3 linked regions of the Astyanax mexicanus genome follow. The protein of the gene in region 1 purifies or fractionates together with the protein of each later gene. This does not show direct contact. Links are inferred from orthologs where the notes say so. Each region holds a gene or a part of one and is shown on either strand. Other genes may lie near its edges.

Region 1 (7,770 bases):
CAGATATTAGATTGACGGCATTTGTGATGGTGTACTTCTTCATGGTGGGGTCTCTAATGCCTGCTGAGTAGCTTATCTCGAAGAACACTCCCCTTTCAATAGCCTTAGAGAATCAACAGAGAAGAGCACAAATTCACAATTCTTACATTTGTAATATGATATTTTATTTTAAGTTAATTTCATATAATTATGGCAATAAAAAAAATAGTATTATATAATATTATATTATATTAATATTAAATTAATTTTAGAATAACATTTTCTATAACTTAGTCTCAAATACTTTTTAGTTTTTTTATTGAGGTTATCTAGAGAGAATCAGATCACACACACACACTACAATGTAGTAAGCATATAGTGTAACCAAAGCTATATATTAATAAAGTAATATTTTACATTTCTACTCACCCCGTTTACCGGTGACCTCTTGAAATGGAAGGACTGTGGTTCAGTGGCTGATATGCAGATAATATCCACATCATAGTTCATGCAGGCTGCCTGTTGCAATAACACACAATACACACATAAATAAAACTTTTTATATATAATCCACATCATTATGCATGTACAGTTTCAGCAGAGTTTTAGAAAAAAACAACATCATGTTTGTCATTTTGGAAGACAAAGTAAAGTTGCAGGATATTACAGAACTAAACAAAGAGAAGAAATATTTAGAGGGGACAACAATATAAATTTACATATTTACAGAAAAAGTTGAACTTACATGGAAGAGTTTGTCTGTTTTGGGATGAACGGCCAAAAGGTCAAAATTCTTGTATTCATTAGTAGGCCTCTACAGTAAATATCACAAATATAATCAGTTTAAAAATCAGATTTCTGTGACTGCAGTTCATAACAACATGATTACTTAGTATTTCAATTGCACTTACAAAGTGAGAGGCATCTGTGGCCACAACTGTCAATCGGTTCAGCACTTTAATAGGTCTGGATTTTCCCTACATGTGAACGAGAGTGCAGAAATTAGAAAACTAGAAAAAAAGACTCCCACATAGATTGTGTATAGTGAGATTTTGTAAAGTTACCTGTACTGTTGGAAACGTCTCAAAGAGCTCTGCTAAGGGTTGCGGAGTCGGAATTAGCTGCATTCAACATCAACACAAACATGAGAACGAAGTTAGCTGAGAAATAATGAATCGGGTTAATAGCATTCTGAAGACGTTTGGTGAGGTAAAATACCTGTTTCTTCTTTTGCCCCTCCACTACATAATTTATTGCAACTGTGGAGTAGCCAACTGAAAGAGAAAGAAACCTGCAGTTCAGTGTTACTGATAACTACCTCACAATAAACTACTACCTCATCTGTGGATAATAACTATTACTATAAATTACCTTATCTGTAAATAACAGTGGATGATACATGGATAGTAGTGTATCGTGTAAGAAAATATCGATATATATATATATCAATATTTCGTTTACCATCGCTGTATCTATAAAAAAAAAAAACAGTTTATACCCTCCTATTGTAATATACACTGTAAATCTGTACACCATAATCCATTGTCTTTTCAATCTCTTAATCATTGTAAATATTCTGTAAAACATATTTATACTACCATATTCATATTCATCCATACCTATTTATATTAAGCATATTTTGCTGCTATTGCACTTCTTGTTAGATTCTAAACCTAAATTATTCCATTGCTTTGTACTTGTACATTATAATGACAATAAAGTTAAGCTACTTTAATATATATACAGCTCTGGGAAAAATTAAAAGACCATTTAAAATGACGAGTTTCTTTAAATTTACCAAATTGAAAACATATGGAACACATTCAAGAGGAAAACAAATGATCACAAGCAATCCAAAACCAAAAGCAGCATGTAAGACTGGTGGAGGAGAACATGCCAAGATGCATGAAAACTGTGATTAAAAACCAGGGTTATTCCACCAAATATTGATTTCTGAGCTCTTAAAACTTTATGAATATGAACTTGTTTTCTTTGCATTATCTGAGGTCTGAAAACTATTTTGCATATTTTTGTTATTTCAGCCATTTCTCACTTTCTGCAAATAAATGCCAATATTTATATTTGAATTTGGGAGAAATGTCTGTAGTTTATAGAATAAAACAACATTGTTCATTTTACTCAAACATAACTATAAATGGCAAAATCTGATTCAGAAACTGAAGTGGTCTCTTTATTTTTATATTTATTTTATTTATTTTTATATAAGAGCTGTATATAAAGGTAAACAAACACAGATTCACACACTGTCCTCTAGTGATGTTTTCAGGATGATGTTCAGTACATGTTCAAATAATGGAGAGTGCTTTAAGGAACTTTACACAGATTTTATAGCGTCTGCATAATTAAACTACATCTATATTATATATTTAGCACCTGGTTATAGTTTGTATCTGTATAGAAATACACAGACAAACAATGTTTTACTTATTATCATTTTTATCTCAGTATAATGGGACTCAAGTGGTGGAGGTCGAATTCCTACAGAGTGTAGGGATTTTCCTACAAACAAACACGCCTCCTTCAACTCAAGTTAGCGCTTCATTGCCAGCCAAGTTGAGCTCATGTGTCAGAAAACACGCTAACGCTACTGAAAATCCCAGTGGTTCCAGATACGTTATGTAACACTAGTGAACTGTCTAAAAGTGAAACTTACGGTGAGCGGCGGTCTCAATAGTGCTCTGGAACTTTGCCTTGTCAGTGCCAGCGGTGATGTTTAAATCCATAAACACAGACATATTCCTTTTTTTAAATACAAATTAGATATCTAACCTAGGATAGCTAGCTAACCAATGTAGCTACTTACAACACAGCCAAAAACAAATATACACATGGGTTTATAATGCTGAGAGTAATATCTGACAGAGAACAGGCTTTCTCTAGCAATATTGTAATTGTAATTATTTTGTAGCCATGCAGCGTTGCTAACTTATTAAGCTAGCTAGTTAACTTACAATGCTAGCGAGCGGTACAGCTTGTTGAAGCATGGACACTGTTTAAACATGTGGGTTTGCGATTTTGATGGCTGCTCTTGGGAATTGTAGTTCATATGTGTACATCAGTCCATTAAATCTTACCACAAGTCGAACTGCTTAAAACTACATCTTCGTGACTTCCGGTCCCAACGGCCACTGCGGCTCGCTGGAAGCAATTTGATTGGTGCGATTTGAACGGAGGACCGCGGCAGCCGTGAACACAACAGTACTAAACTAGGCGCTCGGTACATATTATGAACAGGGTTAGATTTAAACCGGTTTAAAACTAGCTAAATAGTCTTGCTAGGGATAGTTGCGTGTTAGTTTATCTGTAGTTACACAGCCAATATGCGTTTTAGTTCGTTTTAGCTTATTTGAGCTGCTTTTGAAGCGTGTAGGATAGACGCAGGTTAACGTTAGCTAGGCTGGCTACGCTAGGTTACGTCCTTTCAACTGTGTTTTAAGCTAGCTTGGTTTGCTAGTTAAATAATAAGATGAATAACTAATTTATCATCACACTCCGCTTCTTTTACTATGGATACAGTCTATCAGCGGTAGCAACGATTAATCAGGGAAGTCTTAGCGTTATTTAAGGTAGGTAACTTAGCGTTGGTATACTCACACTGCTCTATTCATTAGTTACATGCTGATCAGCAGCGTGTTGATGTTCCTCACTGAGGTCTGTTTCTCTTTGTCTCTTTTAGAGTCATGGAGTCCAGCTTGAATTATAAACCGGAGAGAGTGGGAGCTGTCACTGTGGAAGATCTGAGAAAAGATCTGTTTGTCGAATTCTCCAAAATACCCACAACCCAGGTATTGTTTCCCTGCTTAACCTTCATCTTTTATCGTCTCTGTCTGTAACAGCTAATACTAGACCTGGTATAGTTTACTACATTGTATACAAGTGTTACCACCAAGTGTTACCACCAATCCATGTCAAGACTTATAGAGTATATTAATGGATCTTTATATTTATGGATATTTAATCTTAATTTTATCTATAAAATCAGTCAGGTCCAGCTGTCCCAGGAAATTCAACCTTGACAGTTGGTGTCAAAATAGGGCTGGATGAATTGGCAAAAATCTGTATCACGCAGGAGTGTGCTATGATGTATCATATTATATGCAATAATATCTCCAACATTTTAGACACAATGAAAAAACTCCATATCATAATATATACAGTATTGTTGACAGCTGTCTAATTGGTGCTTGATTTGCTATATATTTACCATATTTATTTTTGTTTTGATTGTTTGTTTGCAGTTTATATGTATGCACTAAATATGCTGCACTTTTGTGGCCACATTGCTTTATTATTTCTACATTGTTTATTATTTTTGTCACATTTTGTTTTATGCAAAATCAGTATTGATAAGCTACTGTTTGCAAAATTGACAAATGGTTATAGATGTTTTTCTCTCTACTGAATGTAGAAAATAAAATAATGTATTTATTTTTGATTTATTTTAAAATTTATTTTAAATGAGTTCTGCTGCAGTTTATTTTTAAATGAATAAATTGTCCTATTGTCAAGAAGTTTGCTATCTCAAAAACACCTTAACATATGGTGGTGATATTTTAGGGTCATATTGCCCAGCCCTAATATCACAATATATTTCATCTATAACAATTCTGATATTGATATTAACCGTATAAAAGCCACAACCATTGGTGTATGTAATTACAAACCAACAGAGCTGGGTGATATGGTACCAATATTATATCACAATGTTTAAAGACATTTTCACAATACCCAGTACTCAAGCAGACAAAATGCATCAGATTCTCCTAGTCAAATATTCTTTCATGCACTGTACATTGATTCTTATTTAATTTTTGCTGCTCATCTTGCATCTGGATATTTGGTTGCACATGGTCAATACAATTTACACTCTCTGTAATGAACTGTACAGTTTGGTCGCTGTTCTTTAAGTAATGATGATATCCTCAATATGCTTATTGTCGATACAATAAAAATATTTATTGCAACACAATAAAAGATTTATTATATTGTCTAGCTCAATGTCAAGTACAGAATCTTCCATCAGATTGAGCCAAAATAAAGTAGATTTTCATTATATACAGAAAACAATTAAATTATCTTGCCCCACATTTTGTTTCGGTGCACCTGATTCTGTTTTAGCCATTTTAATAAATGACTACCTTTTTATTGTTGTTGGTTACATTTCACAAATTATTTTTGAGATTTTCTTTTACATTTTTCTTTGTATATAACAATTAAGAACAAAATCTGCATTTTTTTTATACAACGAACCATGCTTTGCTTTATAGGACTCTGTGTTATTGGAGAGGGAGCATTTGCAGGTCTACCTCAGGATACGCCCTTTTACCTCCACAGAGAGTGATTTCGGTGAATCACAGGTATCGAAATATTTATAATAAGCTGGTGTTAAATTTTAGATGCAAAGCATAACTGTAATAGTGTAAGCAGATGGTAGAACTGTAATTATATTTTTTTAACTGTGATTTTCCTGACTAGGACTGCATTTCAATCGAGTCTCCAGACACTGTGGTTTTAAAGGCTCCAAGATCATCTCTAACAGCCAGGCAAAGTGAGAAACTAGGACCTCAAATTGCACAGAGATTTCAGTTCTCAAAGGTACACAGTCTAAATAGTGTTCATCTACCCTGTAAAATCTGGCACAGTGAAAAACCTTTAACCCTGTGTTAATCATGTTTTGTTAAAACTGATGATATTGTGCAGGTGTATAGTCCAGAAACTACACAAAGGCAGATATTTGATGGAACAACAAAAGCTCTTGTGAAAGATGTTCTGGCAGGACAAAATTCCCTGATTTTCACCTATGGGGTTACTAATGCAGGGAAAACTTTCACATTTTTAGGTGAGTTTTTTTTTCTTTTAGGTCTCATTTTTGTTTTAATTGGAATGTTAACTTATATAATATATGTAATCCATTTTCCGCATCTTTTTCTAAGGACCTGAAACCGATGTGGGAATTCTGCCAAGGTCACTGAAAGTGATCTTTAATAGTATTGAGGGAAGAATCTACACTCAGAATAACATCAAGCCCCACCGCTGCATAGACTTCACTCGACTGACTAAGGATCAGCAGGATGCAGAGGCTACAATTAAGAAAAACCTTCTGAGAAGATATAAAGAGGTATAACTTATTATTATTTTGTTTTTCTTTCATATCACAATATAGCGGTTATTAGTTAATATATTGTGATTCTGTAAGCAAGACTTTGTATTGTGATCTCAAAAAGTCAAATTTTAGGAACACTGTCATTGTTTAAAAACACACGACTATAAAATCTGAGCAAAAACGTTTACAAGAACAGTGGGATCTGAAGAGTACAACACTTCTATCTAGCACTCAGGGTTTAAAATATAAATATATACTCTTAATAATTTGTTTTTGAGAATCAGTACAGTATTGCAAAATGTAATTTCACAACACATTTGGTTTATCAATATTTTCCTTAACCCCTACTAATAAGGGTTCTGAACTGCTGACGCTTTAATTTGATTAGAAAACTCTTTAGTTCTTCATAATTTAAAACATCATCTTGATTTGATATGATTATTTAGGTTCTGTGACGAAGACAAAAAACAAACAAACTTAGTTTTGAATGTTTATAATTGTGTAATGATGAGGGCATAATTGTTATATAGTCAATAGTAATTTATAGTATTATAGTATTTATATTTACTTAAATTACTGTCATTTAAAGTGCTGCCTCTTGATGTGTGGTATTTTATATCTTGATAGAAATAATTAATTATAAATTTTTGTACATTTTCATGCATTTTTTATTTATTTATTTATTTATTTATTTTACATGTGCCCTTTGTCTTCCTTTTTTGTAGAATGATCTGCAGAAAAGCAGCTCTAGTATGTCAAATTCTGCTTGTAGCACACTGCTTGAGGGTAAGAATCATTTAAATTTATGTTGTTGTTATTATGTATTTATAGTTTTTGTTTAGATAAGGCAATAGACAGTGATTTCGGTTATTCCTTCACTTGTAGGTTCCAGCTGCAGTGATCTAAATGAAGACAGTCTTTGTTTGGAGGAAGACTCTCATGTGAAGTTCTCAGTTTGGGTCTCCTTCTGTGAGATTTACAATGAAAACATACATGATCTGCTTGACTTTGCCTCGAGTAGTTCTCAGAGAAGGAGCGTACTTCGGCTTTGCCAAGATGTCAAAGGCAACACGTTTGTCAAAGGTAAGTGGATAGATTGATGATTAGTCTGGTGCTTCTTTGCTGCTTACATTGTGAAAGATTCATTTTTTAAGGTGTTTACTTTAAAACACTTGATTTATACTCTATACTTTTTTTTTTTACTTTTACTGGAACTGCTTCTTTGACTTTTCCACAGATCTGACATGGATTCAGGTTAACAGTGCAGATGAAGCCTACAGAGTTTTGAAGATTGGGAGGAAAAATCAGAGCTTTTCTTCTACAAAGCTCAACAGTGTTTCCAGCAGAAGGTAGTGTTTGTACTATTGTTTGTTTATTATGAAGTTTAACAAGCAGAAATGATTTATAAAGTGATGTAAAATGTAACTCAAATTGTCTATCTTGTTTTAGTCATAGTATTTTCTCCATCCGAATTCTGCGAATCGAAGATATGTGCGTTCCTCGAGTCCAAACAATAAGCGAGTAAGTCTACATTTATTTTTCTAATGTAGTGGATAGAGGTGGTGTAGCAAGTCATTCTGCTCACAGTTTGATTCTGAATTAACAAATTGATTTTCTCACAATATTTAAATAAGTTTTAAAGTATCTTTACTAAAGTATTTCTGTTC
Region 2 (7,285 bases), on another chromosome or scaffold:
GAAAAAAAAAATAGGAAGTAGAAGCACACGAAAGAGAGTTAGAGAAGGTGATAGAAAGAGACCACATTTTTTTTTTCAACATAAAACTTTTAATACATTTAAAACAAGTAAGTTAACTACATAGTTACTCAGCTAGGACAGCTGCCTTTCTCGTTATATTAAGGTTACACATTCATATAAGAAAAAAAGAAATGGCTGTGCATATCGACAGAGCTTTGGCTAAGATTAGGTAAAACAGCTCCAATACAAACTTTTGTATACGGAGAGTAAGATAAAGTAGATTGGATTAAAGTAAATTGGATTTGACTGATTAATTAGTATTTCCACCTTAAATGGATCGGCAGTTCAAAGCCTGGACAGACTGTAACGTATCTAGCTGCTGCAGAATTTAAGGTGGAAAAGAAAGTTGGAATAAGGAACTGAGCAAAAGAAGCACACGAGAGAGAGAGAGAGAGAGAGAGAGAGAGAGAGAGAGAGAGAGAGAGAGGTGTATTCGCATGTGAGCGTATTTCTGTATTTAGACCACATTTCTTTTTTTAAAACAAAAAAAGTAAATCATTCAGAGAGTGGACAGACCATAAAATATATACATTCAAAACAAGTTAACTCAGTTACCTAATTAGCTACTTAGGCTCGTCATATTTAGGTTAATAATTAATATAAAGAAACTAACAGCTTCCACACAAACATCTGTATACGGAGAAGAAGATGACGTTTAGTTTTAAATAGATTGGTCTTATAACTACTCGTTCCACCTTAAATTGTGCAGTTGTTAGTTATATTTTGTAATACACTAACAGCTAGGTAGGTTGGCTGCTGAAGAATTTAAGGTGGAACGAAAAACAAACTGAGCAAGCAGATGCAAACGAGAGAGAGAGAGACTGAGAGAAGGGGGCGGTGTATTCGCATGTGTATGGGAGTTCCTGTATTTAGAGCAGCAAGACCATGTATTCTCCACAAATGTAACTTTTCAACATCAAAAATGTACATTTTAAAACAAGTTAGCTAGCTAACCAAGGATGGTTACTCTGGGGCAATAAGCTATGCTTGTCTGTAGCGCTGCTTGGATACAGTATTTAGGTTAGGTAGTTAGCAAACCAAGCTAAGCTAACTAGTTAGCTAGCTAGTTAGGTTTGTTATTGGACAACACATTCAAACCTTAAATTAAATCTAACTACACAGTTAGTGTACACACCCTCCACAGTGGTACACACTCCTCATTTCCCCACCTTTCCCCTTGTTGTTTCACAGACCACCCGTCCTACTGAACTCCTCTGCTCACCGTGGCCTTCAACCATGGCCAAAGCTCAGTCAGCTACAAACACAACCCCCACCCCCTTTACCTAGCCAGCTTGAAAAGCACCAACGCCGTCTCCATTATCCACACCCCCTTAGCCTTAGACAGGGCTTTGCTATTTAGCTTACCGCCTTCTTCATGCCAATGTTAGCCCACTGCACGGATGACAGGAAGACCCCAGAGTGCTCCACCAAATCTGTAACAGATCTAGCTAGCTAACCTAGCTAATTTAGCTTAGCTAGCTAACCTAGCTCTCTCATACCAGCCAACCCAAAAACATTCAAGGAGAGGAGGGGCTCTCTCTCACCTTAATTTCTGGAGCTAGAGATGCGTATTATTTCCAGTCGTCTGGGCTCCTGCGCATGTGACCGTGTGGTCTCTGGCTGCCGACGTGCTTGTCCTCAATAATCGCGTTATAATCCGCATCAAACCGCGTGTAATATGTACATAAAATGTGTCCTGCTCTCTCTCTCTCCGACGCTGCGCTGCTGCTAGCTCGTCTGCTCGCTACTCTTGTTGTTTGTGTTTTAGGAAGATGGCCGTTCTGCTCGGCGGAGACCACGTGACTCCGTGGCGACTGACTGGAGTAACATATGAAACCTGTCTGAGGGGGGTTGCAGCGCCCCTGGCGGCGTGTGCAGGCAACTACACGTGGTCACATATTCATTATCAAGGAAAGTTAATTTTTATTGTCAATACTGCATATTAGAGGTGTGCCAAAAAATCGATTCACATAAGAATCTTGATTCTCATTTACTACGATTCAGAATCGATTTAAAATGTCCCAAAATCGATTCTGAGGGGCGGGTTTTAGACTGATTTTGGGCTGGGTATTTTTGTTGGACCTGGCAACCCTGGGGATAGCGCTTGTCCTTTCAAACGGAGATCTTCCAGACACACACAGAGCGTAGGTGTTTGAGAATCACCGGTAAGATGGCAGAACAAGCACTATATTACATTAGATTAACGTGTAGTTTCAATGTTTTATGGCAGAATGCTTCATAACAAGCATAAAAAAGATCGCTAGTAGTTAGTTTCAGTAACTGTTAGCTAGCTAACTAGCTAACTTTCCAGTTCCACCTTAAATAACGCTACAGGTGGCAGCGGGCTGCAGCATTTAAGGCGGAACGGAAAAATACAATAAGCTAATCAGAGCTAATTTCAGCTCCTCATCACAGAGGAATTAAGGAATGGACCATATGAATTAATTTCTCCACCTCCTGCCCCCTTTCTGAAGAAATACAACGACCTTAAATTAACTAGTTAATCAGCAGCTGCTCCTGAACTTTAGCGCTCCACTGCTATCATCACATCAGCCCAGCAGCGTCACCTACACACCACCGCTAGTAGCCTGGTAATAAAGCAGTGTTATTTATTATTTATTTATTGTTCATTAACGTCATTGTGATATCCCAGTGATTCCTCTGTCACTGAGGACCCACATTCCTGCACATTTTATTGTTTTTGTAACACATTACCTGCTCCAGGACCAGTGTATATTATGGAGGGTTTTTTTTCAATAAGATTCATAAGCCAGAAGCAGAAATTTTTATAATTCAAATCGTTTTGAATCAAAAATCGATTTTGAATCGAATCGTGGCCCCCAAAATCGGAATCGAATCGAATCGTGAGATAGTAAACGATTCCCACCCCTACTGCATATGGACAGGACATACAGAGGATTAAAATTACGTTACCATCCTTCCCAAAGTTACAACAGGTACAGCAGAATAAAATTATAAATATAAAAGAATGAGACACTAATACTAATACTAGTACAATACAACAAGGCCAGATATATAGACATACGTGAGACAAGAGTTCAAGTTTAAGTAAGAGTAGACAAAAGTACAGAAATATAATATTATAAATAATAAAAGAATGACACTAATTGTACAATACAGCAAGGTCACATATACAACTTAAAAATTATGGGTTTTTTTTGCCTTTACCAAATTGAAAAACTCTGGAATATAATCAAGAGGAAATGGACGATCACAAGCCATCAAACCAAGCTGAACAGCTTGAATTTTGCACCAGGAGTGGCATAAAGTTATTCAGAGGCAGTCTGGAGGGGAACATGCCAATGTGCATTAAAACTGTGATTAAAAAAACAGGGTTACTCCACCAAAGATTTCTGAATTCTTAAAACCTTATGAATATGAACTTGTTTTCTTTGCATTATTTGAGATCTGAAAGCTCTGCATCTTCTTCTCATTTTCTGCAGTATGATTTATTTTTTTTTTTTTGGAATTTGGAAGAAATGTTGTCTGTAGTTTACAGAATAAAACAAAAATGTTAATTTTACTCAAACATCTACCTATAAATAGCAAAATCAGATAAATTGATTTAGAAACTGAAGTGGTCTCTTAATTTTTCCAGAGTTGTATAGACACACGTTAGACAAGAGACACACAATAGTGCAATATAAAATGACAGTGTACCAGTTGGTTTGAAAGGGGTGGGGGGTCACAGTCGTAGGGGGAATTAAGTGGCTATGATTGATCAGTGCAAGTATAGGCAGTAGTGCAGGTTTGGGGTGTGTGAGTGCATATCAGTTCCTGAAAAAGACTTCCACTACTGTTTTGATTCAAGTACTATGTTCCAGTATTGTGTTGATAAGAGTGCGGTCAGAATTGACCAGATTTTAGCTGGTATAGTGAACAAGTGCATAATGCACATTCTTTCAATTGCACAGTTGTAGGGATAATTAAAGTGAGTATGACAGTGCAAGTATAAGCAGTAGTGTCAGTATGGGTATGTGAGAGCACTGTATTACATATATTACATGTATTAGAATATAATCAGGTGCTCTGCTCTAGGGGAGCGAGCGACCGCTGATCTATAAGACATGTGCGCCACGCGGTAATTAGGCGCATTGCCGCTGAATCCCCATCACACTGCTTATACATCTGTACAGAGCGCGTCGTAGGCGCAGGTACTCAAACAGAGACGGCTGTTTGAATGGCGATTTGCTCCACCGGGTAACATTTTACATTTACAGCTGTATGTCTGTGACTCACTGGTTGTTTTGCAGTCACTATTTTACTATTTTAAATACAGACGTCCCTAAACACACGAGAGACAGACATCACTTCCGGTAAAAAGCTGGTAACACATCCGGCATCTTCTACAGTGAGGCGGTGTGACGAGCCCCCAGAGCAGAGCAGGTACCTGTTTATTACATTGTTTTTGAATGTTTATTTGAATCAGAATCTGCAATTAGGTGTACGATGTTGCAGGTTGATTCAATGTAAAGAGCGAGAACTGGAGTGTAGTCTATATTCCACGTGTTTAGACTCCTCGCCATGCTTTCCAGTGTACGGGTGGGTGGTCAGTGAGTGACAGACTAGCTAGTCCTTCAGTCCTTCAGCAAACACTGAAATACACCCTATTTAATATCATACACGAGATAGCCTCACAACTAACAGCTAGCTAACACTGCTGCAAAGACTGCTGCTTAAGATGGTGATTCTGGTTAGATTAGGTTGTGGTGGAAAGGCTGATTGATCATGTTTCTGTGACAGAGGATGTTTTTTTTTATAGATTTTTGCTGTCTGTCTATCTGTCTATCTCTCTCTCTCTCTCTCTCTCTCTCTCTCTCTCTCTCTCTCTATGTATATATATATATATATATATAAGGAAAGGCTGATTGATCATGTTGTATGTCACAGGATGTTTTGCCATCCATCACTTATTTTTATCCCAACCTTCTCTAGTAGAATTGTCCCTGTGTTCACTGTGGCATTGTTTCGATAAGCTTCTGTAATGTCACAAGATTTATTTTAATCCAGTACCCAAAGCCTTCTTCAGCACATCCCAAAGATTCTCAATGGAGTTAAGGTCTGGACACTGTGGTGAACAATCCATGTGTGAATATGATGATCTCATGCTCCCTGAACCACCCTTTCACAATTCCTGCCCAATGAATCCTGGCATCATATTATTTTACTCCAACACTGGATATATTGAGAGCATTGTTAGTATCATTACATGTTGTATTGTTCACTTCAATTAGGGATTTTTTTGTTTTCATATCAACAAGAACATAATTGCAAAAGCTCCCAGAATATCCCACCCCACCCAGGCCCACTCCATCTAAATATTTATTGTTTATCTAATGGTAAATTTAATATACATCTTCTTTGATATTAAATGTTTAATTGTCAGTACATGTGTGGATTAGGAGTAAACAATACTTTTTAAAAAGACATTGTTAATCGTTAAATTGCTCTATGTTTCCATTGTCAGATTTAATCTCTGCTGATCCTCTTCAGAAGCCCCGAGATGGCAGATCCACGAAGTCAAGTCCCAGGTTCGGTGTCTCAGAACCCACTAGGTTTTTCAACACCTGAGGGCAACACTGTTGAGATGGACCCAGTGGAATACACCCTCCGCAAACGGCTGCCCAGAAAGCTGCCCAAGAGACGCAACGATGTATACATTAACATGAAGACCGACTTCAAGGCCCAGCTGGCCAGGTGTCAGAAACTGCTGGATGGCGGTGCTGGTCACAAGGAAATCTGCATCCACGGTCTGGGACTCGCCATTAACCGGGCCATTAACATCGCACTGCAGCTGCAGGCTTTCAGCCAGGGGGCACTGCAGCTGGCTGCGAACACCTCCACGGTAGAGCTAGTAGACGATCTGGAGCCAGAAGACCCAGATGAAGCTGGAGAGCCACTAACACGAACAAGGAACAACTCGGCTATCCACATTAAAGTGTTTTACCCCAATGCTTAGAAAGTTACAGTCAGCTACACAAAATCAAATATTATTAAAAAGGGAAAGAAGGAAATCCATCACCATAGAGGGATAATCTGACCTTTAATTTCATTAATAGCTACTGAATGTTAAGACTTTTCAATTGAATCATTTGGGATTAAATTCTTAAATAATACATGGCTTGGATGTGCAGTTTAAGGACAGTATTAAAAATATTTTTTGAGAGCCTTTACATAATGTGAAGATCAGTAAAAACAAATTCTGTCAGCACTTTATTTGGCCAAAAAAGTTTTGAGATATGTTTAAGGGTGCGAAAGATTAATATTTCTAAAATGCAAATCAGTTTGTGTCCCTATATATTTTTTGGGTTATTTTGCCAAGTGAAAGAACCTAGGAGTTGTTCACACATCTAAATTGGAATCAGTAAATCGATTAGCCCTGATATGAGAGAGCCTGGTATGGAAGTAGCTGACCCAATATTATATTCTACCCACTTGTCTTCTTATGGCACTGGAGGAGAACATTAGATCAGTGCTTTGATGTATGTCTGTGAAACTGCTCATGAGGTCATTCATATGTGTAGGTGTTTGATATTTTGATAAAACTTGAAGAAAATAGAACATTTTGTATTAATGTGCTGTCCACAAGTACAAAATATTATTTAAGGTGCCTATGCATGTTGTTGTATTGTCTGAAACAGTTTGTGTTCGTTTGTGAACATACTATATTTTTAAGTCTTATTTTCACTGTTTGAGAAGCATATTCAGATTTATTTTCTGATGTATATGTGTGTAAATAAAACACTAACACATGCTTGCATATCGTTTGTGATATTTTTTTAGCTTGTGCTGTCCACTTGAGGGCAGTATAGCGTCTATTATTTTTGCAAGAATACAGATGCTTGCATCTGTCCAGTGTCTTTACCCCTCGACTTATGGTGTGCATAGTCTTTAAGAGCACTAGAAGCTGGACTGGATTGATTTACACAGTCATGGCCGTTTTGGCCCCCCAACGTGTTTCCAGAAAAAAGATATTTTTTCCAAAAAAATCTTCTTTGTGTGTATTAAAAACAGAAAAAGCCAAAATGTATTATTTCACAAAGAATTACAAAATAGGGCCAGACACAATTATTTGCACCTTTTTAAAATAATGCTCGTTTACATTCACGTGTGGCCAGTAACAGGTTTGGGCACAATACAATCATACGAATAGAAAGTAGAAAACTGAATTTCAAGGTTTTAAATCCATCCCCACAGATCTTGA
Region 3 (7,415 bases), on another chromosome or scaffold:
AGAGAAACATATTTTTTTTGGACTGGGACATTGTGGATCTGGAAGACCACAGCACTGGAGTATTGTCTTACTTTTCAGTCTGTCTTCTTTGGTGATGATCTTAAAGACGTGCTTCAGCTCCTGCACCAGGATTCCAGTGGTCCCAACATAAGATGGACATTTTGATCGGACCACTGCAAGACAAAATAATGAAACACAAATAAATGTTGGGTAATCCTCCCGTATATATTGATGATATTTGATCAGAATCTGAGAGAGCTGTAGAGTGTAGAGTTGAGGAGCGTCCACTAACCTGTTAAAACTGCACCGTGGAAATCAGCCTTCAGGAGCTTCTGCTGGATGGTCTGTGGGTTGCTGTGGTAGATGTTACAGATTAAACACTGCAGGAATTAGAGCCAGACTTACAGTATCAGAATTTAAACTATCATATATAAATATATATTGATATTTATCACCTGCCAGGTTTGAGTCCGTTACACAGATCGATTATGTACTGTTTCCACAGCACATGTAGCGGCAGGAACAGCTCATACCTGCAGAATCAGAACCGGAAATAGTTATAATATTTACTTTAGTCTATTAATATAGTTATACATGGCAAAGCAATTTGCAACAACACCTGTCGACCACTTGGAACACCATAGCAACCAAGCCTTTCTACAGCAGTTACCTAGCAACAACATAGCAATCAACCAGTGGGGACTTCTTGAACATCCCAACCATTACATTTCTAGTTAAATACAGTCTAAAAGTGCAAACGTTTGGAAACATCATGTGTTCTTGAGTCAAAATTCCTTACAGAGAGACTTATTTACACTCACAGGGCTCTAGACTAACACAGTCCCAGCGTCCTGACGACAAAGCCGTTTCAAGCCGTTTTTGAGAAAACTGCCTGCTGGTTGAAGTATGACTGGGACTTTTCCTATTGCTTAGCATGTTAAAGTATATTCTTTTTTACGAACAATCAGCTTGCTAGAAAAGCCACAAGAGGAGGAAGGCCAATGTGGCACTAGCGGGGAAAGCCTCTAAAGAAATAATTGTGGTTGGTGGATCGCCATGTCAGTCAACTGGGGAGCTTCAAAAGTGGCAAAATTGCTGGCTAATGGCAGAACTGCACTTTTAAGATAAGCAGACATATCCTAAGGAACTGTGTTCTATACATTTCTTAATTGTGGTGGGTGTATTGCCATGTCAGTCAACTTGGGAGCTTCAAAATGGGCAAAATGAATCAGGGGAAAAAGCGTCAATTGCTGGCTAATGGCAAAACTGCACTTTTAAGATGAGCAGACATATTGTAAGGAACTGTGTTTTTAATTTTATTCTAAGTATAATTCCACTAGTTGAAAAAAAGTTTCTAACTGAAAATAAAATATAATTGTGTCTCTGTATAATATAATAACTTGACATTAAGGAGTCACAAATATATATATAACTCAAACAGACTGTCCAAACAACTGATGACATTATGGTAGTAAAATACACAAATACAATAGAAATGTAAACATAGATACATAGAATAAACATCTAAATATATATAATTTTTCACATTACTATTGTATTTGTTTTTGTATTGTTATGGGACAGATAATTTTCAGTTTGAGATGGTTCTGGGACGGTTGAGAATAAAGTTAGTCTGGAGCCCTGACTGGAGCCAAGTCACTTCATGTGAGGGGTCCTGATTTTTGCATTAATCTGCACTGCTGATGCAGGAATGTGGTGTGATGTTGTGATGAGATGTGGTACACACTTCTGATGCTCGGGTTTCAGCTGGAACACTTTTAGCTCCCGCCGTTCTTTAGCGTTGAGTCCTTTAGCTTTGGTCTTCTTTCCCCGGGTTCTGTTGGGTCTGGCGTACTGCAGGATCACAGCCTGGCGGAGCATCATGCTCTCGATCTCCTCGCCCTTCAGCTGCGGCAGGCTGCTCTTCAGGAACGCATTGGTGAACTTCTCCGCAGCCGTGCCAGGCTGAGACTGAACACACAACACAACACAGGCCAACATTGTTTTTTTATTATATACAGCTCTGGAAAAAATATGACACCACTTAAAAATGATAAGTTTCTTTGATTTTACCAAATTGAAAACCTCTGGAATATAATCAAGAGGAAGATGGATGATTACAAGCAATCAAATCAAGCTGAACTGATTAGATTTTTGCACCAGGAGTGTCATAAAGTTATCCAAAATCAGTATGTAAGACTGGTGGAGGAGAACATGCATAGATGCACGAAAACTGTGATTAAACCCAGGGTTTTTCCACCAAATGTTGATTACTGATCTCTTAAAATTTTATGAATATGAACTTGTTTTCTTTGCATTATTTGAGATTAGAAAGCTCTGCATCTTTTTTTGTTTTTTTCAACCATTTCTCATTTTCTGCAAATAAATGCTCTAAATGACAATATTTTTATTTGGAATTTGGGAGAAATGTTGTCCAACAATGTTCATTTTACTCAAACATAAACCTATAAATAGCGGTTCAAATAGCTTGGACTTATTGGTTTACTGTAAATAGAGCAAATCAGTCAGAACCTGAAAAGAACTCTCACCTGAACTCCTAGAAGTTTACCATCTTCTGGAGGAATACTGGAAAACGCTGCTTCTGTGAACAAGAAAAGAACAAAAAACAGCAATGACCGGCAAAGGAACACATTTCAGCTATTATGTTAAAAACATATAGTTTAGTGTTCAGTGACTTTAACAAAAAATAAAACAAAAACGAACCTTAAAGAACCTAAATCTAATGCTAGAGGAACGTTTAGTGTTATCTGGGGAAACAACAGCCCTGGATTGGTTATTTAGACTCAGTTCAGCAGGAAGACTCGGTTTACAACACACAACACTCACTAACAACCGCGCGTCGCTTTAATAAACCTGTTATTAATGTTATTAATACAATAATAATCCACACTTACCCGCCATGCTGGATCCACACCGGCTCCCCCAGTGCTGAAAGCCGATCACCGATCGCCAAGTCCGGTACGTGAGACCTGAGTAATCAACCGCAGCTTCCCTGATTCAGTCATTTCTACAGTACATGTGTTTTATGTCCTTTTTTAAAATACATTTTGGTTATAAATGTTATAAATTACTCAAAATTATTTCTAAAATGTCTAAATTTATAGTTAATAAAAATCATTTTTTATTTAGACCTCTGTATACTAATGTATTTATGTTTTTTACAAAAGACTTTCTGAGGTGTAGATGTCCTATAATGTTATAAACGGCATTAAACCTTTTTATAATAATAATAAAAAATACTTACCACTCCGTAAAGCTACAAAATTATTTCAAATTAGAGATTTAACATCTTTTTATTTAATACATTTTGAAGTGTAAACTTGTGTGTATAGTAAAACATTTTTTTCAGTTTTTGAGTTTTAAAGTCTGTCCCCTTTAAAAATAAAAAAGCATATGTTTCAGGTATTTTATGTAACATTATAGGTATGTATAAACAAAGAAAATATTTTATTTATTCTGATCTAGATCATTTAGTAAAAAGTTGTTTGCATCAAATTATGGTGCAAAATTGGACAAAAAATGTCAAAACTACACTATATTTAAAGCAAATAAAAATAAAAAAAATCGCAAGGTAATACACATAGACAAAAACAATCTTTTATTAATAATTTTATTTATAATTTTCTAATTTTATTTTTTTTATTTCTATAAAATCCACGTCTTTTACAAAAGCCCCGCCCCCTCTTGGGCGAAACCGCTCTCTATTGGTCCGCTGTCACCGGACGCCACTTTCTATTTGTCCGCGCGTTTGCAGGGTGGATTTGAATGCAGCTGATTTGAAGCGAGCAGTGAGGAGAGTTCAGTTATTTAGTTATTTTTATTTAATTTAAATTCACACTTTTTACACAGTTACGGGTTTATATGCGTGTTTATATATTTAGTTGATTATTTGTAGTATTTAGATTGTAGTTGAGTGTTTTTGAGATGAAGGCTGAGGGCGGTGGAGTGTGTGTATCTGAGGGTGGAGAGCAGCGGCCGGTGGATGATCAACAGCAACAACCGGACCAGACCGACCCAGAGCCAGAACCAGAGCCAGAGCCAGAACCTGAACCAAAACCGGCGCCCAGACTCTTACCCAGAGGTACCAGAACCGACTTACTGATTTACTAAGAAACTAATGCAGTACAGCGAAGTGTCAGTGAGACAGCTTAGAGATACAGCCAGCGGTTTAACACAACAACTTAGCTAGCACTAACTTACCAGCTAACGAGGTTAACAAACTAACGTTAGCTAGCTTACTTATAAGTAACGTTAAGTGATTGATTAATTAACTAACTAACTAACTAACCTAGCTAACTAAATAAGTAGTTATTATTTAATTAATGAACTAACTAACTAACTAACCTAGCAAACTAACTAACTAAAGTTACCTAAATAAGTATTTAAATAACAAGCAAACTAACTAGCTACCTAACTAGTTGACTAACTAACGTTACCTAGGTAACTAGTTAACTGACAAGTTAACTAACTAACTAGTTACTATCTATCTAACTAAATCACTAGTTAACTAACTAACTAACTTAGTTAACTATCTATCTAGCTAACTAAATCACTTTATACGGTCATGATAAACCTGGGAAAGTCATGAAATTCAAAAATAGCAATTTCCAAGGATTGATTAGTTTTGGAAAAATAAAAAAGACCTAGAACGTTTTGGAAAAGTCCTGAAAACCTTGTCCACAAATCCTTTATGTTTCAGTTTATTGAAGGAGAAAAGCTATTTTGAGCTACAAATACATCAGCTCAGAGTTAATTCAGTAATTTAGCCTTATAGAGTAGAGCTCTCAGGATCTGACACGCATTTTATTATTAAAGATTGAGTGTCAACATTTTTATCAGATTCATTTTAGGCCTACTATCTTCAATTTTGTTTTTGTGTCTGCACTGATGTTTTAAAAATCATATGGTCATGAAAATGTCCCTTGAAAAATCATGAAAATGTATTGGTTAAAACATGTATGAGCCATGAACATAACTATGACCATGAAAACTTAAAAATAAAACATAACTATAAAACCATTAACTGTGGTACTGTGTGTAGCAAAGTGCAGTTACAAATGACTGTTTATGTGGCCAGTTATGTTGACAAATTGATCCATCCTTAATAATGTCTCCATAAGCACAGAGCGGGATAACAGTAAAAATTCTGCAGAATTTCATTCAGAAAGTGAACATTTCTATGGGTAAAACGCAGGTATAGTGATGATATATCGCTGTAAGTGATGGGAACTCTTTCCTCTGTAGCGATGTTTCAGGATGACGAGCACGATGAAGAGGAGGATGACGAGGATGACGATGAAGAAGATGACAGCGGCACAGATGGGCTGTCTAACGATGAAAAGCTGTGCACACATTTACAGCGGGCCGAGGCGTTCGGGAGCGCGGGGCTGCCTCACATCTTCCAAACCAACCATCTGCTTTTCTACGAGAGATTCAAAGCCTATCAGGATTACATGCTCGGTAACTCGCTGCATATTAACCTCATCATCTGTAGATGTGTCACTGTTTATTATGTTCATAATCACATCTGCTGATCTCTATACTGAATAGATCAGCAAATGGATAAATACAGTATATATAATACTTTTTAAAATATTATATTAAAATTCCCTGAGGTATAATATATAAAGTATATAAAATATCTAAAATATAAATGTTTGACCTCCATTAGACCTCTGAAACCTCTCCTCACCCATCTCTGTCTCTGTCTGTCTGCTGCAGGCGACTGTAAACCTTCAGAGGTGCAGGAGTTCACTGCGGATTACCTGGAGAAGGTGGTGGAGCCATGTGATTGGCAGGCGCTGTGGCACACTGACATGGTTGATGTTCTAGTTGAAGTGAGTGCAAAGAGTATTTGCTCGTCTGCCTTTTCACACCTACACAAAATGACTAGTTTCTTTGATTTTACCAAATTGAAAACCTCTGGAATATAATCAAGAGGAAGATGGATGATCACAAGCCATCAAACCACCAAACTGAACTGCTTGAATTTTTGCACCAGGAGTAAAGCAGCATAAAGTTATCCAAAAGCAGAGTGTAAGACTGGTGGAGGAGAACATGAGTTATTCCACCAAATATTGATTTCTAAACATTTAAAACTTTATGAATGTGAACATTGTATATGAATATTGTTTTCTTTGCATTATTTGAAGTCTGAAAGCTCTGCAATTTGTTTGTTATTTTTGCCATTTCTTATTTTCTCCAAATAAATGCTCTAAATGACAATATTTTTATTTGGAATTTAGGAGAAATGTTGTCTGTAGTTTATAGAATAAAACAACAATGTTAATTTTACTTAAACATAAATAGCAAAATCAGAGAAACCTATTTAGAAACTGAAGTGGTCTTTTTATTTTTTTCTAAAGCTATATGAACTTGAGTGACATCCTTTTCTTAATCCATAGGGTTTAATATGATCTCAGCCCAACCTTTACAGCTATAAGAGCTTCAGCTCATCTGGAAAGGCTTTACACAGGTTTAGGAGTGTGTTTATGGAATTTTTTCTCATTCTTCCACAAATACATTCGTGAAGTCAGACATTGATGTTGGATGGGAAGCTCTGGTTATCAGTCTCTATTCTAATCCATCCCAGAGGTGTTCCATCAGGTTGAAGTCAGGACTCGACTGTGCAGACCAGTCAAGTTCTTTCACACCAGACTCACTCATGCATGTCTTCATGTGTTCTGCAGGTGGTGGATGTTGACTATAAGGAGCTGAAGGGGAAGGTGGAGCTAGTGGAGCCCCTGCAGTGCGAGTATCGAGGTTGTGACCTCACTGAGGACTCGGTGAAGACGTTACTGGAGGCCAAGCAGAATAAAGTCCCGCTGCAGGAGCTCCATGTGGTTTATGATGAATCCGGAGAATTCGACCAGACAGCTCTCGCTCTGGAACATCTCAGGTTCAGCTCTCTTACTCAGTTACTCACACACATAACCACACACTCTACATGGAAGGCACATGGAGATGGTTGGAGTTATGCAATAAGGAGTAACCATTTCAATTCATATAGAAATCACATTAAAATCAGTGGATGAAGATATAAATCTGTACCAGTGGTAACATATTTAGAGTTTATACTAAAAAAGAATGGAATGGTAGAAGCTTAAATTGAACTAGAAAAGGTTTTAATAATCAAAATTCTTGAATGTTTGACCAACGTTTTTATTTTCTTTTTTTTTTATTTTTTATTTTTTATTTTTTTTACATCCTGGCATAAATACCAACAAAACACTTTTTCCTCAACTGTGTTATTATAATCCTAAATTTACCTCAGTAGTGCTGTTCTAATCCTGAATTTACCTGAGTAGTGCTGTCCTAATCATGAATTTACCTTAGAATGGTATTCTAATCATGCATTTACCTCAATAGTGCTGTTCTAAGCATGAAATTACTTC

The links.
Region 2: the proteins of rpp30 (region 1) and pop7 purify together in Homo sapiens (co-immunoprecipitation; 4 studies listed by BioGRID and IntAct, counting the BioPlex papers as one, with this or other methods). This does not show direct contact. The link is inferred for Astyanax mexicanus from reciprocal best matches to the Homo sapiens genes RPP30 and POP7.
Region 3: the proteins of rpp30 (region 1) and pop4 purify together in Homo sapiens (affinity purification with mass spectrometry; 4 studies listed by BioGRID and IntAct, counting the BioPlex papers as one, with this or other methods). This does not show direct contact. The link is inferred for Astyanax mexicanus from reciprocal best matches to the Homo sapiens genes RPP30 and POP4.

What each region holds. Positions count from the first base shown.
Region 1 is NC_064422.1:25,766,652-25,774,421, reverse strand, and holds the start of rpp30 (ribonuclease P protein subunit p30), read right to left. Parts: upstream 3,010-7,770; 5' UTR 2,736-3,009; coding exon 2,654-2,735; intron 1,254-2,653; coding exon 1,198-1,253; intron 1,101-1,197; coding exon 1,044-1,100; intron 957-1,043; coding exon 891-956; intron 794-890; coding exon 725-793; intron 499-724; coding exon 409-498; intron 104-408; coding exon 1-103. Other genes in the region: kif20bb (kinesin-like protein KIF20B), read left to right, coding at 3,681-3,785, 5,268-5,357, 5,476-5,595, 5,701-5,839, 5,934-6,118, 6,829-6,889, 6,989-7,186, 7,341-7,452 and 1 more. UniProt on the Homo sapiens protein: Component of ribonuclease P, a ribonucleoprotein complex that generates mature tRNA molecules by cleaving their 5'-ends. Also a component of the MRP ribonuclease complex, which cleaves pre-rRNA sequences.
Region 2 is NC_064415.1:15,413,101-15,420,385, forward strand, and holds pop7 (ribonuclease P protein subunit p20), read left to right. Parts: upstream 1-4,236; 5' UTR 4,237-4,467; intron 4,468-5,548; 5' UTR 5,549-5,584; coding exon 5,585-6,040; 3' UTR 6,041-6,841; downstream 6,842-7,285. UniProt on the Homo sapiens protein: Component of ribonuclease P, a ribonucleoprotein complex that generates mature tRNA molecules by cleaving their 5'-ends. Also a component of the MRP ribonuclease complex, which cleaves pre-rRNA sequences.
Region 3 is NC_064430.1:24,491,800-24,499,214, reverse strand, and holds the start of pop4 (ribonuclease P protein subunit p29), read right to left. Parts: upstream 3,010-7,415; 5' UTR 2,923-3,009; coding exon 2,916-2,922; intron 2,603-2,915; coding exon 2,550-2,602; intron 1,972-2,549; coding exon 1,748-1,971; intron 534-1,747; coding exon 456-533; intron 355-455; coding exon 293-354; intron 174-292; coding exon 72-173; intron 1-71. Other genes in the region: shcbp1 (SHC SH2 domain-binding protein 1), read left to right, coding at 3,946-4,102, 5,266-5,481, 5,743-5,858, 6,711-6,919. UniProt on the Homo sapiens protein: Component of ribonuclease P, a ribonucleoprotein complex that generates mature tRNA molecules by cleaving their 5'-ends.